Sus scrofa: one gene and its partners. Each later gene encodes a partner of the first gene's protein in a complex. Links are inferred from orthologs where the notes say so. Each region holds a gene or a part of one and is shown in the gene's direction. Other genes may lie near its edges. The genes, in order: CFB, CFP and CFD.

What was found.
Region 2: the proteins of CFB (region 1) and CFP are in contact, whole or in part, in a crystal structure (PDB 7NOZ), measured with the Homo sapiens proteins. The link is inferred for Sus scrofa from reciprocal best matches to the Homo sapiens genes CFB and CFP. Residues at the interface, in NP_001701.2 of Homo sapiens: Glu54, Gln56, Ser78, Thr316, Tyr317, Leu349, Ser351, Met394; in NP_001138724.1 of Homo sapiens: Arg329, Arg330, Asn331, Lys333, Pro341, Met420, Val421.
Region 3: the proteins of CFB (region 1) and CFD are in contact, whole or in part, in a crystal structure (PDB 2XWB), measured with the Homo sapiens proteins. The link is inferred for Sus scrofa from reciprocal best matches to the Homo sapiens genes CFB and CFD. Residues at the interface, in NP_001701.2 of Homo sapiens: Glu298, Ala301, Ser302, Ala332, Asp333, Ile469, Asp470, Glu471, Ser472, Glu518, Tyr519, Lys585, Asp758, Glu759, Asp760; in NP_001919.2 of Homo sapiens: Asn157, His158, Ala159, Gly160, Arg161, Arg162, Arg182, Thr183, Asp186, Arg200, Val228, Cys229, Gly230, Asn231, Arg232, Lys233.

What each region holds. Positions count from the first base shown.
Region 1 is NC_010449.5:24,037,060-24,041,150, forward strand, and holds the end of CFB (complement factor B), read left to right. Parts: intron 1-147; coding exon 148-279; intron 280-552; coding exon 553-654; intron 655-757; coding exon 758-895; intron 896-1,383; coding exon 1,384-1,481; intron 1,482-1,617; coding exon 1,618-1,735; intron 1,736-1,941; coding exon 1,942-2,095; intron 2,096-2,203; coding exon 2,204-2,280; intron 2,281-2,488; coding exon 2,489-2,601; intron 2,602-2,707; coding exon 2,708-2,840; intron 2,841-2,919; coding exon 2,920-2,969; intron 2,970-3,263; coding exon 3,264-3,410; 3' UTR 3,411-3,464; downstream 3,465-4,091. Other genes in the region: NELFE (negative elongation factor E), read right to left, coding at 3,621-3,779.
Region 2 is NC_010461.5:42,147,436-42,149,892, reverse strand, and holds part of CFP (properdin), read left to right. Parts: intron 1-270; coding exon 271-441; intron 442-579; coding exon 580-771; intron 772-970; coding exon 971-1,144; intron 1,145-1,394; coding exon 1,395-1,589; intron 1,590-1,751; coding exon 1,752-1,863; intron 1,864-2,457. UniProt on the Homo sapiens protein: A positive regulator of the alternate pathway (AP) of complement. It binds to and stabilizes the C3- and C5-convertase enzyme complexes. Inhibits CFI-CFH mediated degradation of Complement C3 beta chain (C3b).
Region 3 is NC_010444.4:77,509,202-77,513,536, reverse strand, and holds CFD (complement factor D), read left to right. Parts: upstream 1-1,548; 5' UTR 1,549-1,815; coding exon 1,816-1,873; intron 1,874-2,381; coding exon 2,382-2,538; intron 2,539-2,624; coding exon 2,625-2,769; intron 2,770-2,851; coding exon 2,852-3,109; intron 3,110-3,515; coding exon 3,516-3,677; 3' UTR 3,678-3,745; downstream 3,746-4,335.

The sequences.
Region 1 (4,091 bases):
GAGGGTCACTGTTGTCAGAGGAAAGTCAACGGGGGTGACAGTTAACTCAGAAAGTTGCAAGATGTGGCCTATCAGCCGCTGAGAGGCCTCTGGGGTCAAGGATGGCTTGGACGATCAGTGACGTGATGATGTCTTCCCTTTCCACAGACCACAAGTTGAAGGCAGGGACTAACACCAAGAAGGCGCTCCTGGAAGTATACAACATGATGAGCTGGGGAGTGAACAACTTTCCTGATAACTGGAACCGCACCCGCCATGTCATTGTCCTCCTGACTGATGGTAGAGGGCCCCCTCTCCTGCCTGACACCCCAAGCTCTCAAACCACTGCGGGGCCCTGAAGGCCATGTGTAAAGCTGGACTCATGGTTGGGGCCCCAAGTGCTGCTCAGAGCCCCGACCTTGTCAACCTTTCCCGTGAAGCTTTACAAGGAGGGACACGTCTCCCCCCAGCCTGCTCACTCAGCCCCAAGTGTCACTCTGTCTAGCCATTTTGTCTTTCTTGAGCCTCATCCTTCCTCGTCTCCTTCCTTCATGGTCCCTGCCTCTCCTGCAGGCTTGCACAACATGGGCGGGGATCCGGTCACGGTCATTCATGATATTCGGGACCTGCTGAACATTGGTAGAAATCGCAAAAACCCAAGGGAGGATTATCTGGGTGAGTGTGACCGCCCAGGACCCAGAAGCCTGCCTCCTCAGTTCCGACTCCCCCACCCCCACCCCGAGGGCCTGGACCCTCACTCGCCCCTTTTCTCCCTCAGACATCTACGTGTTTGGGGTTGGGCCTCTGGTGAACCAAGAGAACATCAATGCTTTGGCTTCCAAGAAGGACAAGGAACAACACGTGTTCAAACTCAAGGACGTAGATAACCTGGAGGATGTTTTCTTCCAAATGCTTGGTAGGAAGCTATCAGGAGGATACAAGGAGACAGTTAGGAGCCTCAGCTCTCCCCAGGCCCCCCATACTCTCCCACTCCTCCCAAAGCTCTGGCCGTCCCGAAGGCCTCTCTCGACCTCAGTTATTATTCTTGCTTCCTGGCACTGTCCACACCCTGCCCTTAGAACCACAGAGCTCTGAAAGATGATGATCTTTTCTCAAGTCCCTCGTTGTACAGATGTGGAAACTGGGGCCAAGAGAGGTCAAGGAACGACAGATCAGCGAGAGCTAGGTCTGAAAACAGCCATGTCTCTAATCTCAGCCCCCAGGTCCTCTCATGCTACCCTAGAGGGTCCGTCCCTGCCCTCAGCGTAAGGAAACGAGTGCCCCCACCTTCCTTTTCCTCCTGTACGCCTGTTCTCTGTGGCCCTGTGGGTGTCCCTCCCCAAAAGGCTGCTGCCACCTGGAAACGAAGTGTCCCAGCTTTCAGCGCAGTCCTTTTTTTGCCAGATGAAAGCCGGAGTCTGGGTCTCTGTGGCATGGTTTGGGAGCACAAGGACGGTACTGACTACCACAAGCAGCCGTGGCATGCCAAGATCTCAATCACTGTAAGTGCAGTGTCCTGAGAGTGGGGACTTGTGGCTGGTGAGGTCAAGGTGAAAGGAAAGAGGAAGAGCAGACTGTTGATATTAGATTGTGGCGTTTGCGAAAGCCAAGCTTCCCCTCCTGCCGCTCTGTTCCCAGCGCCCTTCAAAGGGCCATGAGAGCTGTATGGGTGCCGTGGTGTCTGAGTACTTTGTGCTGACAGCTGCACACTGTTTCACTGTGGATGACGAGAAACACTCCATCAAGGTCAGCCTGGGTAAGGATGCAACCAACCAATCCTGAGCCTCAGCCACGTCCTCTGGGTGACACCTCCCACTTCCTCACGAGCCTACACTCCACCTGTCTGCTCCCTCGCGGGCTGGACCAGTGAGGGGTAGGGAGACTTGAGTGAGGGGTGACGTGGAGGCTGCCCACAGTGAAGCGCATGGTCTAGAGGTAACTGTTCTTGCTCTGGTACTTCAGGAGGGAAGAAGCAGGAGTGGGAGATAGACCAAGTCTTATTTCACCCAAACTATGACCTCAACGCAAAGACCGCAAAAGATATTCCTGAATTTTATGACTATGACGTGGCCCTGATCAGGCTCTCGAAAAAGCTGAAGTATGACCAGACCATCAGGTGAGCCATCTGGCTCCCCAGGGAGAAAAGCCTGCGAAAGGTGAGGCCGAAAGACTGGGGCAGGCCCGGAGGTCACCATCCCTGAATCCCCCCATCCCTCCTCACCAGGCCCATTTGTCTCCCCTGCACTGAGGGATCAAATCAAGCTCTGAGGCTTCCTCTGACAACCACGTGCCAGCAACAGAGTAAGATGCCTTCGGGGACAAGAGCATGAGGGTGAGATCCCAAGAGACAAGGGAGGCGGGAGAGGGAGCGGCAGGAAGAACAGATGACGCCCAGCCCTCTCCAGCTGCTGGGCCGGGGTTGAGGGACATCTGCTGAGTGATAAAGATAACGGACAGGTGCTGGGGGGAGGGAGCGTGATGAAACGACCCAGTCTGTCCACCTGTCCAGTGCAAGAGCTGCTGCCTGCAAAGGATGTCAAAGCCCTGTTTGTGTCAGAGCTGACCAAGGATCACAGGAAGATACTGACTCGGAAGGAGGTTTACATCAAGAATGGGGAAAGGGTGAGGAACGGGGGATCCAGAGGCTGTCCTTCAGGCTCCCGAGCTTCCTAAGCAAGCTTTGTTCATCACCCCTTTCTCCTCTGGGTGTCCCCCCCCTCACCTACAGAAAGCTGCCTGTGAGAGAGATGCTCTACAAGCCCAAGGCTATGAAAAGGTCAAAGTCGTCTCTGAGGTGGTCACCCCCAGGTTCCTTTGCACTGGCGGGGTGATTCCCTATGCTGACCCCAACACTTGCAAAGGTGAGAGAAGGCTCTCTGGTTGTGCTCTAAGTTCCCAAGGCCTGAGGGTCTTTTCCCTACAGCTTCTCCTCTCCTGCAGGTGACTCAGGGGGCCCCCTGATTATTCATAAGAAGAGCCGCTTTATTCAAGTGAGTCTCCCCTTTCCTCTCTGTGGGAGGGACCAAGCAGTCAGCCTAGGCTCCAAGGCGGGACCACTCACTGTGGCTGCAAAGGGGAGGGTGGAGCCTGCCTGACCTTCAGGCTCCTCTTGAACTGGCCAACTCAGGGCTGCATGTCTGGGCTGTGTGCCAGGGGACAGGACGGAGCTGGCTCCTACTCTAATCCTCTGGGGTCAGCTCGGATGCAAGGGGGAGGAGCTGTGCCTCCTGGGATTCAGAAGGAATTCTACCAAAGGATTCCCGGCACCCCCTCGCCCTCTCCAGGTTGGCGTGATCAGCTGGGGCGTCGTGGATATCTGCAAGCGGCAGCAGCAGGCACCCTCTTACGCCCGAGACTTTCACATCAACCTCTACAAAGTGCTGCCCTGGCTCAAGGAGAAACTCAAAGATGAGGATCTGGGTTTTCTCTAAGGGGTTTCCTGCTGGAAAGGGACATGAGATCAAATTAAAACAGCTGCGACAACACCTGTGTTCAAGATCCTTTTGGGGTAAAGGAACGGGGAGCGTGCACTGGCCATGTTGTTACAACTGAGATCAAATCTAACAGCCGTTTTTAAAGGCTCGACCCCAATCCCAAGGGCTGAAAAACCAGAGGCTGAGGGAGATGTGTGAGCTTCCACCTCAGTGTTTTACTGAGACCAGCGTTGGGGCAGGTGAGGCACACGGAATCCAGCTCCATTCCCTAGAAGCCGTCCACAAGGTTTTCCTTGTAGACGTCATCACTGTAGACAATCTGAGTCCTCTTGTCCCGGTGGCAACCCTTAGGGCTATTCTGGACAGCTAGGGAGGGAGGAAAGACGCATTAGGGTCTGAAGGAGGGCACTGAGGAGACCTGAGGCCCAGTGTTTGACCACCTCCACTCCTGGCCTCTGGCTCTTGGAAGCCCAGTTGCCATGCTGCCCTCTGGCGGCAGGACGGCCTTTCTACCATCAGCCTCCTTAGCCAGTGGCTCGGAACCATCGCCCCAGGGGAGGGTGTGCTCTTATCACAGCAGGCGCAAATACTGTAAGGAACTTTCCGTCTTGGAAAAGCCTCAAATGTTATTGTTAACACGTGCAAATGATGTTAACCTGCTACTACTTTCCGTCGTCA
Region 2 (2,457 bases), on another chromosome or scaffold:
AGTGATGTAGTGATGGCAGAGAAATGTGATCCGACTTGGGTTGTGGCAGGCCCCTCTTGCTGTTAGGAAGACAGACTGCACGTGTTGAGGAGTGAGGCCGGGGAACCAGTGTGAAAGCTACTGCAATCGTCCAGATGAGCAATGATGGATGGTGGGCCACGTGTGGCAGAAGATGTGGGGACAGGGTTAGCTGATATGGGACACACGAGGAAGCCCGGACCCTTGAATGGCACCACCACCTCCATCTTGTCGCCCTCTTCCCTCCCACAGAGATGGGCGGCTGGTCCAGTTGGGGGCCCTGGGCACCTTGCTCTGCCACCTGCTCCAGAGGGACCCGGACTCGTCGTCGGGCATGTGATCGCCCCACCCCCAAGTGTGGGGGCCACTGCCCAGGAGAGGCACAGGAATCAGAGGACTGTGACACCCAACAGGTCTGCCCCAGTGAGTGAGGGCAACCACAGAGCAATGATTCGGGCATGCGGGGTGGGTCCAGGAGTTACAGCAGGGAACTTCCAGGGTGGGAGGACTTCAGCATGCGTGACCACACTTGGCATCTCCCCATCCCCCACCCCATCACAGCACACGGGGCCTGGGCTGCTTGGGGTCCCTGGGGCCCCTGCCAAAGCACCTGCAAAGGTGGACCCAGCGAACCTGTGGAGAGACGAAAACGCACGTGCACAGCACCTGAGCCTTCCACGAAGCCTCCCGGGAATCCCTGCTCAGGGTCAGCCAATGACCAGCGGATGTGCAGCGGCTTGCCACCCTGCCCAGGTACTTGGGGATGAGGCCTCTGACCCTCTGCTCTTGACTGAAGCACAGATGCTCTACCATTTCAGGGGACAGAGATCTGAGACCATGTGACCATGTGACCATGGAGCTCTTTGTCTAGGGGAAATCTGCCTCAGGGGTCTAGGGGCTGAGGGGGGCAACGGAGGTGGCCTTTCCCCTCACTTCCATCCTCCACCAACAGTGGCTGGGGGCTGGGGGCCATGGGGCGCTGTGAGTCCCTGCCCTGTGACCTGCGGCCTGGGCCAGACCCGAGAACAACGGTCGTGTGATCACCCTGTGCCCCAGCACGGGGGCCCCTTCTGTGTCGGCGAAGCCTTTCGGACCCACATCTGCAACACGGCTGTGCCCTGCCCTGGTCAGCACCCCAAGATGCCTCATTTCCATGCCTAAGCCCTGCCCCCCATCTCTGCTGCCCAGTTCCTGCTATTAATACCTCATTCCTGCGTCTAATTTCTCCATTCCTGGCCCCAATGCCTTGGTTCCATCTCTGATCCCCCTTTCCCACGTCTGGTCATTCCCACTCCCACCCCAGCCCCCATTCCTTCCTCCAAGCCCTCTCGCTGGCTCCCTTCTTTGGTATGAGCCCAGCTGCCTCATCTCTGCAGTGGATGGAGAGTGGGGGCTCTGGGGAGAGTGGAGCAACTGCGTCCGCCGGGGCATAAAGCACATCAGCTGCCAGGAGATCCCAGGCCAGCAGACCCGCTCGAGGATCTGCAAAGGCCGCAAGTTTGACGGACGGCGATGTCTTGGGGAACAACAGGACATCCGGCACTGCTACAGCATCCAGCGCTGCCCCCTCAGTGAGTGGCCCCAGAGACTATGCTGTGGGGGTGGGGCAGCCCATGCCGGGGATACAGGCTTTCTGATTCTCTGCCTCGGACCCCGCGCATCCCTGCCGCCTCTCTGTCACCATCCCACTGAGACTTCCAATTCTGACTCGGGAACCCCTCCCCTCATTGCAGAGGAAGCCTCCTGGTCCGAGTGGAGTACCTGGGGGCTGTGCATACCTCCTTGTGGCCCCAGCCCTGTCCGCACCCGCCAGCGCCTCTGCCAGCCCAAGCTCCCCAATTTCCCGTGAGTGAGGGGGGCTGCATGCCTCGGAGGGGGTCATGATATGGATATGTCAGCATTCAGGGTTGGAGAGTCAGCTACCCCTAACCAGGGCTTCCACCACTGGATGCAAGGTGCCTGCCTCGCCAAGGGCCATCTCCTCGCTGCAGGAAGAGGGGAGAAACTAAAAAAGCTGAGGAAGTGGAGGTTGAAGGGAGAATCAGTAGGCTCCAGGCCCTTCACTCATTCACTCAGCCATTCTCCCATTCACTCCATTCTTCCTGTGTCCATTTGTTCTGCTACCTCAGTTACTCAAGCTTGGATTTGCTCTTTCAGTCCCTCAGTCATTCATGTCTCCATTCACCTTCTCATTCTCTCAGTCACCCATGCCCCGAGGCACTCTAAGGCCTTTTGGGCAACAGTTGCAGAGAAGCAGAACCCAGATCCCGTGTATTCCCCCAAGGGATCCAGGTACACAGGGCCCCGAGAAAAGGCCTCCGAGGAATGGTTGGTGTGTGGAAAAGGCACCGCCATCTCAATCTGGATCCAGGAAGCTGATTGGACCTCCCTGGCAAGAAGGAGTAGGGAAAGGCTTTCCTATCGCCAGGACTGTGTGAG
Region 3 (4,335 bases), on another chromosome or scaffold:
GGTGTTCATTCTGAGTCACAAGGATCATTCTGAATCTTTGCAATCTTCACTCATCTGTTTCTGGCTCCAGCCCCTAAAGTAGTTCTTATATAAGTGCCTTGTTTTACAGGCGAGGAAGTAGAGATGCAAAGAACTGTAAAGTCATGCTCCAGGGCCTGGGTTCGAGTCCCAGCTCTGTGACTTTGGGCAAATTGCTCACTGTTTCTCTGATTCTCAGTTCCCCATGGGGAAGACTGAGGCACTGTCTGGGGAGGACCCAATCAGGGGTTGGGGTCCAGGCCAGTCTCGGCCTCACTGGGTACGGAAACAATCCTTCCTCCACTTCCCCAACCTTTTGCCTTGGGACACCTCAGGGTCTTAACTAGTGCTGTTCCCTCTGCCTTCCAGCTTCTCCCTAAGGTTGTCCTCAGAACACCTCTCCCCACAAGGGCCAGCTGCTCAGGCAGGTGACCCACTGCCCTACAACTGCTTTTTCCACTTAATACGATATCTTGGCGGTCTTTCCATGTCAACAAAGCATCCCAGGATCTGCAGGGTTATTTACTGAACCATTCTGTCTTTTTGGGTAATTTCCAAATTTTGCTGCAATTTCCAATCCTTTTACTTACATAATCTGCACTCCACATTCCAATGGGCTTTTGTTTTAGAGTTTCTGATTTGAGCAAGGAAACATTTTAGGGTCTAACAAATTGCATTTGTTATGCTGTTTTCTATTTTTCTCTGTATGTGTGAAATGGTCCACCATGAAGAAAAAAGAAGGAAAGGAGAAAATACCATGCACTGTTCCTCCTGGGGACGTTCACGGTCCTCCCCACCCTTGTGGTTACACACAGCATCTCCCCCGAAGAGGTTCATGAGATGTTGACCCACCATCCCCAGCTTACAGAGAACCATGTGACCCAGGTTCTGCTCATCAGAACCTGCCAACCCACAATGGCTGCTTTAGGGGCATGAGATCCAAACTCAACCAATCAGAGGCCGCCTTGAGATGCTGGCTAGAGTGATGGGGAATTGGCAGAGGGAATAACTGGGCCATTGGTCTGAGTCTAGGGCCCCTGAGGCCACAACAGGGGAGACTGCTGAGGAGACAACCCATCAAGGAGGAAAAAAAGAAACAAAACATTGTTCAGGTGCCTGGATTAAGCTACACCTGAAGGTAGACCCATAAACTTTCCATTTAAATTTTCTTGTTGAAGGTTCCAGCCCCTTACACTCCATTTTTTTGTCACTTGTATGCAACAGTCTTTCCAGCTGTCCCTACTCATCAACAATATTCTACTTAAAGGGTGTCAAGCCCCAGAGTCACAGCAATGTGGACAAGGGCGTTGGATGACCTTCCCCCCCACCCGACCTCAGCTCCAAGTTGCAGGAGGAAGGGAAAGAAGGGAGGGGCAGAAAATGAGGAAGTGGGTTGTTTACAAACTGGGCTTGCTCTCCAGCTGCTGTTGCGAAACTCTGGGGCTGGAAGGGCACTCTGGGAGACTGGGCTGGGGGTCAGGGTGGGTGGGTGGGTGGGTCCATCCCTCTGCTCTGCCCACCGCCCATCCTGAGGGGCTCTTCCCACAGAATGACAGAGGTGGCAGGCAGGTCCAGCAGCCCATCTACTCTTGGTACAAAGTCTAGGGGAAGATAATCACAGCACTGTGGCGGGGGAAGTGGGGGGAGAGAAGGGCGTGGACGGCTTCCCTTTGTTCAGCTGGGCCACTGCCCACTTGGCAGATAGGACCTGTGGGAGCTCCCCCCCCACCCCGTTCCACCCTCATAAAAGAACCCCAGAGCCCTGCCCTGGGCCATTGTTGAGGCCACAGCAGCATCATGGCAGACCGCTCCGGGCACCTGGCAGCCCTGATCCTCCTCGGAGCAGCTGTATGTGGTGAGTGGACCCGGGACTGGGGTGCCAGCTGGGGGCCCCTAGCCTGCAGCGCAGTCAGCCATGGACCCCTCCGCTCAAGAGGATGGCCCTCCAGCCCCACTAGGTGGGCAGAGAGGGGGCAGGGTCCACATGAACAGAAGGCTCTGAAAACCAAGCAATTCTCAAAACTTTGAATCTAGTGAGTTCAGAGAGCCTCTGGTTCTACAACAGAAAGCCCAGGCTGGGAGCAAACGGCTGGCAGGATGTTGGGTCTGATCAGCCCCACTTGTCTGTGTCTATATTGAAGTTCTAGGGCCCAGTGTGTAGGTACGCGGAGTCTGCCCCAGACTGTCACTCCCCACCGCCCGGTCTGTCTTCTTCAGCATCCCTCCCTGGGCCCCCAGAGTTTGCAACTCTTTGGGGAGGATCCCAAGGAAGGAATTTCAGTCTGAGGGTGCCAGAGCCGCTCTCTTAGAGGGAATCTGAGGTCTGGGCTGCAGTCACCCTCACTCGGACCTGCATCCTCCAGTGGCACAGCCCCGTGGCCGGATCCTGGGTGGCCAGGAGGCCAAGTCCCACGAGAGACCCTACATGGCATCGGTGCAGGTGAACGGCAAGCACGTGTGCGGAGGCTTCCTGGTGTCTGAGCAGTGGGTGCTGAGTGCAGCACACTGCCTGGAGGACGTGTGAGTGGCCCAGGACCAAGAGCGGAATGGGGGAATTGGGTGTCGGGTGGGGACATGGCTCTGATGTGAGCCCACTCCACTTCCAGGGCCGAGGGGAAGCTGCAGGTTCTCCTGGGTGCGCACTCCCTGTCACAGCCCGAGCCCTCGAAGCGCCTGTACGACGTGCTCCGCGCCGTGCCCCACCCAGACAGCCAGCCTGACACCATCGACCATGATCTCCTCCTGCTGAAGGTCTGCTAAGTCTAGCCGCAGTCCCTCCAGCTGCACTGGGGGCTGCGCTGCCCCTAACGCTCGCTTCCGCCCCCACCCTCAGCTCTCCGAGAAGGCCGAGCTGGGCCCTGCCGTGCAGCCCCTTGCCTGGCAACGAGAGGACCACGAGGTTCCGGCAGGCACGCTCTGCGACGTGGCCGGCTGGGGAGTGGTCAGTCACACTGGCCGCCGGCCCGACCGTCTGCAGCACCTGCTCCTACCGGTGCTGGACCGCACCACCTGCAACCTGCGCACATACCACGATGGCACCATCACCGAGCGCATGATGTGCGCGGAGAGCAACCGTCGGGACAGCTGCAAGGTGCGAGGGCGGGAGGGCTGAGAGGGGGCGGGCATGTGGGGAGCTTAGAGAGTGGCCAGGCTCTACAGCGTGAGCGTGGCCTGAGAAGTGAGGGCTGGGTGGGCGTGGCAGAGTTGAGAGGGGAGGTGGGATCTGGGAGAGGGTGCAGATAAAGACAAAGCCAGGGCGGGCATGGAGAGGGCTAGGAATGGGGCAGGGTCGGAGGCGGGGGCTGCTGAACTCAGACAAAGGGCGGAGTAAAGCTTGAGGGGCAGAGCTGAAAGTTGGGAGGCGGCGCCTTGATGGGCTGGGCCTGGGAAGATTGCTGAGCGAGAGAGCCTGTTGGGGCTGTAGGGATGAGCGGAATTGCAGCAGGTTCAGGTTGAGCCTGGCCTGGACCCAGCTCTCAAGCCCCCGCCCCACGCAGGGCGACTCCGGAGGCCCGCTGGTGTGCGGGGGTGTGGCCGAGGGAGTGGTTACCTCAGGCTCCCGAGTCTGCGGCAACCGCAAGAAACCCGGCATCTACACGCGCTTGGCGAGCTACGTGGCCTGGATCGACGGAGTGATGGCTGACAGCGCAGCCGCCTAAGGAGGACCTAAGGGACAGGGCGGTGGTCACCAGGCTTAGCAATAAAGTCATCCATTCCTGCATCTGAACCTTTTATTATTATTTTTTTTAATGGCCACACCAGTGGCATATGGAAGTTCCCTAGCCAGGGACTAAATCCAAGCTGCAGCTGGCAACAACCCACTGAGCCAGGTATAGAACCTGCACCTCAGCAGTGACCCGAGTGGCTACAGTCAGATTCTTAACCCACTGCACCACAGCGGGAACTCCCCGACCACCTTCACTACTTTCACATTGCCTGTGGGAGCACACGAAGTGGACAGTCCAAAAGGACTGCGGAAAATAGCAAGTGAAACCTTTTTTTTTTTCCCCCAACCTTTTAGAGCCACACCTGTGGCATATGGAGGTTCCCAGGCTAGGGGTCGAATCAAAGCTACAGCTGCCAGACTACACCACAGCCACAGCAACGCAGGACCCAAGCCACATCTGCAACCTACACCTCAGCTCACAGCAATGCCTGGATCTGTAACCCACTGAGCAAAGCCAGGGAAAGAATCCGTAACCTCATGGTTCCTAGTCGGATTCATTACCACTGTGCCAGAACGGGAACTCCACAAACAAAAACCTTTACCTTGGTAGCAGTGGCAGGAGGTGACAGAAAGGCGTGCCTTGGGGTGGG